Bombyx mori: one gene and its partner. The protein of the gene in region 1 interacts with the protein of each later gene in a pairwise test. Links are inferred from orthologs where the notes say so. Each region holds a gene or a part of one and is shown in the gene's direction. Other genes may lie near its edges.

The links. The genes of interacting proteins can lie anywhere in the genome.
Region 2: the proteins of ubiquitin-conjugating enzyme E2 W (region 1) and E3 ubiquitin-protein ligase MARCHF5 interact in binary tests that used the Homo sapiens proteins (3 or more experiments, as listed by UniProt). The link is inferred for Bombyx mori from reciprocal best matches to the Homo sapiens genes UBE2W and MARCHF5.

What each region holds. Positions count from the first base shown.
Region 1 is NC_085117.1:6,909,130-6,912,795, reverse strand, and holds part of ubiquitin-conjugating enzyme E2 W, read left to right. Parts: intron 1-526; coding exon 527-682; intron 683-2,440; coding exon 2,441-2,516; intron 2,517-3,190; coding exon 3,191-3,204; 3' UTR 3,205-3,666. UniProt on the Homo sapiens protein: Accepts ubiquitin from the E1 complex and catalyzes its covalent attachment to other proteins.
Region 2 is NC_085132.1:5,326,234-5,329,899, reverse strand, and holds part of E3 ubiquitin-protein ligase MARCHF5, read left to right. Parts: intron 1-1,676; coding exon 1,677-1,922; intron 1,923-3,666. UniProt on the Homo sapiens protein: Mitochondrial E3 ubiquitin-protein ligase that plays a crucial role in the control of mitochondrial morphology by acting as a positive regulator of mitochondrial fission and as an important regulator of immune response.

The sequences.
Region 1 (3,666 bases):
GATGGTCATAGATAGTGATTAAAAATATATTATCATAGAAGCGCCATTGTATTTATTAGAGATTCATTTAATATGTTAATCGTTTTTTTTTAATCTATTTCAAGATAAAACAAGATTATGAATCATAATGATAATAAAATATTTTCACATCGTTTCGATTAAATATATGACAACAGGGGCGTGGCTATTGTTTCTTGCTAAATAAGGAACGGTGTTTATATTTATCTTAAGCGTCCGTGGCCTTATAAGCTACTACGTCCGTTAATTATAGAGAAATGCAACAACTGCAGGCTATAGTCCGAATAAAAAAATGAAAGTATAAGCAAATAAATATTTTTTCCAAAGGCTTACAAAATTTTCAATTTGATTTTTGAACGCTCTTAATAGATTCAACAGAAATCACTAAATTGAAATTGGGACAGGTCAGCTGGTGTTGCCAAAAAAATATTCTAAAAAAAAACTTCCAAATTAGTAGAAAAAATAATCGATGTCGCATAATTGAAAACGAAATTTTGCGTATGTACAGGTAACGTTCATAGGCAACAACATTCCCGTTCACCCGCACGTGTACTCGAACGGGCACATCTGCCTTTCGATCCTCACCGACGACTGGTCGCCGGCGCTGTCGGTGCAATCAGTCTGCCTCTCGATCGTGTCGATGCTCAGTAGCTGTAAGGAAAAGGTATTATGATCTATTTTAATAACGGACCTTGACGCAATCTCTGAATAAGAAGATAGTGTAAACTTAAGAAGCGAGTTATTTTAATGCATCTAGATGTTTATCCAGTAAAATAACTCTGAATAAGAAAGTAGTATATAGGACATGGGCCATTTTCGACCCAGCTACTCGTGCTCTCAAGGACATTAGTGAAATATCTATAGAAAAAAACATTTCATTTTTACATACTTATTATAAAATTTAAGGGCATTTTAATGGTGGGTTAATTAAAATCATAAATAAAAAGAAATCAGCATGACTAATCTACATTGATAATATTGAAGGAGTTGCCATGGGTAAAATATATTATTTATATTTTAAACAATTCACATTAAATATTCTTAAAAAAACATTATAATGCAAAAAACTAGCAAAATATATTAACATATTTAATTAATAGATTTTAAAATTAATATAAAATATTATATCTAAACAAAAATCTATTTTTATACTTTTAAATCCGTGAATAAATCATTAAAAATTACATTGATGAACAATTATTGATCTTTAACAAAAAAAAAACTACGCTGTCCTTGAACTTCGTTTAGTGGGCCGTGCAAAGTATGGAGAGTGGCCCATGTCCTTTAAGAAGCGAGTTATTTTAATGCATTTGCCCAGTAAAAAAAACTTAAGAAAAAAGAATAAACACTACTACGTCTGTTCAATGCGAATTCTAAACTCGAACACTCGTTTGATGCGAAAATAATCGGGACATCTTCTCCAAAAACTTTAACATTTATAATTCGGAACACTATTAAAATTAGTCCACTGTCATTCGCATAATGACGTCCTCGACTATGGCCCATAATATCAATCGTAGTTTAAACTAATATCGAAGTTTTAAACGATCACTGAAGATCAACTCGTAATTTAAATCAGTGTTAAACTCACCTCCGTAGCTTAAATTATCTCAAAGCTTAAACCGTGCGTTGGGTTTAAACGGTTCTTTTCAAAATGGCCAAATATTTCGCATAAATCATGATTGATATTATGGACCTAAGTGCATTAATAATTATACGTCACTTTTCAGCTTTCCCTGTTATAAAAAGCTATGCAAATGATGAATATTTTGTTTTCGTTGTGTCGTCTTGAAAAGAGTGGTACAGTCGTTAATATCTACAATTGAGACTACAATTCACCTTGTAATTTCAATAGGAAATTCCAGTAAACACATAACTCCGGGATAGCTTGGAGTTCATTCAACCGTCTGTGCAATTAAAAGAAATCCTTTCGCTAATTATTGCACTCGACGACAGCTGATCTTATTGGTGTTAAGTGGTTACAGACATCACAACCTGAGTGCGGAGAACCACTATGAGACACGGCGTGGAAGCAACATTTAGATTTAGACCATTGGAACTTTAGAATTATAGAGACCTATTTCGAAATTTCTGGATATCGACTTTAATTCAAAAATTGATCTAGAACGACCTTTTTCAGCGACTGTTAATAATCAAATTACCAAAAGTAGCTTATAAAGGGACACGCTTATCTATCGGTCTCTTTCACTACGTTCCCCTCCTCTACGTCTTTTCGGTTTGAAAACTTTATTCGATGTTTTCCAAAAAATACATATTTTGAGTTGGGTCTCTATAATTTTAAAGGTGCGATTTATATTGTGTGACAGCTGTACCACTCTTGAACCCGGAACCCATCGATTCGCTTCATAACAGAAGTAATTTTTAGTCATTAAATATATAAAATCCAATTTTAACATTCCAGAGACGACCGCCTGATAATTCGTTCTACGTTAAAACCTGTAATAAAAATCCTAAGAAAACAAAATGGTGGTATCATGGTGAGTGAAGCAAGATTTTATTTTTCATTGTCCATTCGTATCATATATTGCAACATCAAACCGTCTTTATCTTAAGACTTGAAGTCATTTACATTAGAGATATCCAGATACCAGCATCGAATTTCACCACACCGATATTAATGAGTGATCGTGATGTGAAAATTTGAAATGGTTTTAAAACATATTTCGTGGGTAGAACAAAAAAAACATGAATATAAATAAAATTAATAAGAGCTTAAAACCCGTGCATAACTCATATTATACATTAAAAAAAAGTAGCAATCGAACGGAGACATTTAACCCCATATCTACTTTATGTAATACTATCAAAATTATTCCGCTTTTTTCACCCACCACAATTACCCACTAAATTATAAATTCAAAAGTATATTTAATAAAGATGGGCGCGAAAATACGAGAATGACAATACTAAATTCAAATGTTGTTTTTTTTTATTGCGTTTCGACAAAAAGTAAAATCAAAAAAACTAAGGAGTCATTAAAATTGCATAAATTTAATATAATGAATTTATTCTGTACTTTTTGCGCTTCGATAAGACGATACGAACGGTATCTATGAAAATACAATGAATATTAGATACCGCTCACCTCGACAAGTAGCGCCGAGATCTGACGCAGCGAAGCCATCATTGACCGCTCTCTCAATTATTCCAGATGATTCGGTGTAGCAAGCCATGCGGTTCATTCTATCGAACATGGATGATTAAATCTCAGTATGTGATAAGTGTTATAATAATGAGGATGTACGGTGCGCGAACGAGTCCGGGACGGGGCGCGTCGAACGACGGACTTATTGTCCTCAACAAGGATCAAAATGTCCGTCACAAACGCGATCATATCGCACATACAGAGCTATAATGTCACTTATGCGATTCTTGCCTGAGAAAATCAATTTTTTTTATAGTTATTAGTGAGACGTTTGCTTTTACTGATACTCTTCCCCCTGAAGCTCTTCCCCAACTTACGCAATAAAAAAAAAAATCTTTAGTAGAGAAGAACTTATATAACAGTAATAAAATGTTGATTTTTCAAATTCTTCTCCTGAAAAATTACATAATTTGCATAAGTGATGTTATAGCACTGTATGTGCGATATTAGCTGATCGTTTAAAATTCATAAACGTTGATTTG
Region 2 (3,666 bases), on another chromosome or scaffold:
ATTGTCGATAATCCCGGTCTCACGGATCGTTTGGAACCTCTGGGTCTGCGGAGGGACTTCGGTTCCCTCTATATTTTGTACCGTATGTTCCATGGGGAGTGCTCTGAGGAATTGTTCGAGATGATACCGGCATCTCGTTTTTACCATCGCACCGCCCGCCACCGGAGTAGAGTTCATCCATACTACCTGGAGCCACTGCGGTCATCCACAGTGCGTTTCCAGAGGTCTTTTTTGCCACGTACCATCCGGCTATGGAATGAGCTCCCCTCCATGGTGTTTCCCGAGCGCTATGACATGTCCTTCTTCAAACGAGGCTTGTGGAGAGTATTAAGCGGTAGGCAGCGGCTTGGCTCTGCCCCTGGCATTGCTGAAGTCCATGGGCGACGGTAACCACTCACCATCAGGTGGGCCGTATGCTCGTCTGCCTACAAGGGCAATAAAAAAAAAAAAAAAAAAAAAAGATACACTACTCTGATCATCACAGGCGTAGTTTATGTTCACATGAAAAAAGACTCGTCTTTCGTAAAGGGGTCATCAAAACGGTAGTCAGGCGATATAACTAAATTAATAAAACCCTGTTTTTTGCCATTTGCCCACAGAATGCTAAAACAGCATCTATTTTATAAAATAACAATTAGATATAATCTTACAAGACTTGTTTTTTATTAACAGTGAATTGTTTTATTATTGTCTAAGTTGTGGCCTCAGAGGAAAGACTTCCAGTGCATATTGTATCGAGCGATGCCACTGTACCGGTGTTCGAATCCCGCAGGCGGTTGCCAATTTTTCAAATAAAATACGTACTTAATGAATTCACGAATGACTTCTATGTTGAATGATTCCCGTAAAAATTATAATTTGTGTCATTACTGGTGGTACGTTTCATAAGACCACACGAGTAAGTACCACCGCCGTGAAGCAGTAATGCGCTGTACTGTAAAACTGACAGCTAGAAGATTTTTATTTTTTTATTGCTTAGATAAGTGGACGAGCTCACAGCACACCTGGTGTTAAGTGGTAACTGGAGCCCATAAACATTCACAACGTAAATGCGCCACCCACCTTGAGATACAAGTTCTAACGTCTCAAGTATAGTTACAACGGCTGCCCCACCCTTCAAACCGAAACGCATTACTGCTTCACGGCAGAAATAGGCAGGGTGGTGGTACCGACCCGCGCGGACTCACAAGAGGTCCTAGCACCAGTAATTACGCAAATTATAGTTTTGCGGGTTTTATTTTTATTACACGATGTTGTTCCTTCACCGTGGAAGTCAATCGTGAACATTAGTCGAGTACGTATTTCATTAGAAAAATTGGTACCCGCCTGAGATTCGAATACCGTTGCATCGCTCAACACGAATGCATCGGACTTCTAAGAATTCGTGTCTCAAGTTGGACGGCGGCATTTGCGTTGCTGATGTCTATAGGATAGATTAGAATCAATAAAAAAAAATATGACAGCATTTTTCAGGTGATAGCACTAATCTGTATATAAGCATAATATGGTTAAAAATCATCTAATAATTGACCAGTTCTTTAGAACTTGTTAATACGAGATAGAAATTGGTTTTCTTTTGTTTGGCCTATGACGTAATTAAAATTTTACATTTTTTTCAATGATTGGAAGTTTTCATTTGTCCACAAAATCTGTTAACTTGTTATTTTTTTTTGTAGGTTCATCAGTCATGTCTCCAAAGATGGGTCGATGAGAAGCAGCGGGGCAACATCACACGCAAGGTTCTCTGCCCTCAGTGTAAAGCGGAATACATTGTCGTGTTTCCGTCCATGGGTGCCTTCGTAGCCATGCTCGATGCTATGGAAGAGATCACCCACAAGATATGTCCATTTATTGCTGGTGGAGTGCTACTTGGCTCCATATATTGGATTGCCATTACATACGGAGCGGTCACTGTCATGCAGGTATGTTCACGTAAGATTTTTTTATACGATATATCTATACTAATATATAAATCTACAGTGGTTTTTACGGATGTTCCGTTATAACTACTGAACCATGCATCCGATTGATTTGAAACTTGGTATCAATGTAGAAAATACATTTACTTAATGGATAGGCTAATATTTATATGAGTGTTGGACTCCCTAATAATAATGACAATAAAATTAAATGATAATGTTAATTTTAAATGCCCAGCGAAGCGGGCGAGTACTGCTATTCATATATACGTATTTGTATGTAAGTAAGGTACACGCCGCCAAACACCCTAGAACACAGTGCGTGACCAGACATATTTTTTGGTTATGTGCTTTCGAGCTTTTGACTGAACTCCGCTCCTACGGTATTTCCTGGGGTTGACAACATGTTTTCTTTCAAACAAGGTTTCTCAGCGGTAAGCGCTAGCTTAACTGTGCCCTTTTCATTGCTGCTTTTCATGAGCGAAGGTAACCACTCACCATCAGGTGAATCAAGTGCTCGTTTACTAATCGCTGTGATTAGAAGAAAATAATGAAATTTCTAAATCAGAACGCGAGAAACAAAAACGACAGACATACTAAAATGTAATTAATAGTGATAATTAACAGATAGATTGTGGTCTCCTCATAACGTCCGGACAAAAAAAAAATCGGTTTATACAATAGCTCGTGATATGTTTTATATATATAAAATATTTCGATCATCGCTTATCATTTTCGTGGTTGTCTCTTATCTTGTTCTTTGGTAATATCGAAATTATACCGAAATAATTGGCACATCGAAATTCAGTACTTACAAGGGCGGCACTGAAAATTTCAGTGACACAGTTGAAGTGACAAAACATTACTATTTAAAAATGTATTTATTGCTTTTCGAAGTATTCTCCGCGAAATTTGACACATTTTTCCATACGATGGAACCAATCATTGAAGCAACCATTCCATTCGGAAGTTGGGGTCTCCAAAATGGCCGTTTTGTAGGCGTCCACAGCTTCTTCAGGTGATGAAAATCTGTGTCCACGCAATTTATTCTTTATTTTAGGGAAAGTATAGAAATCTTTAGGGCCTAGGTCGGGGCTATACGGCGGATGGTCTAATAATTCTATGTTTTCTTGCTCTAAAAACTCTTTTGTTCTGTGCGCGGTGTGAGAACTCGCATTGTCGTGATGGAGGATGATGCGGCGGTTGCAGTTCTCTTTACGGAGTTCAGAAACGACCTGTGGCAAACAAATGCTAGCATACCATTCTGCATTAACCGTTCTTTGTCCCTCAAGAGGAATAGTCAGTCGTAACATGGCTGGTTTTGGAAACAAACGTGGCCACCATTTTTTTGCAACACTCCGTGAACGAACAATTTTTGTTGGCTTTAACTCATTTTCGAACACCCAAACTCGTGACTGGTTTTTTGTTTCGGGTTCGTACGCGTATATTCAGGATTCGTCACCTGATACAATGTTGTATACAGCATTTGAGGATCCTGCGTGGAATCTTTCGAGAGTTCTGACGCACCAAGTAACGCGAGCCGCTTTTTGCTCTTCACAGAGCGAATGCGGTATCCATCGGGAAAACAACTTTTTTACACCTAAGTAATTGTTCATGCAAGATTATTTGTATTTGACTCATGCCAATGTCTAAAGTTGCCTGAATTTCGCGGTATGTCACATGTCGATCTTCCTCAATCAGCTTACGCACAGCATCAACGTTTTCTTGGGTGACTGTAGTTTTTGGA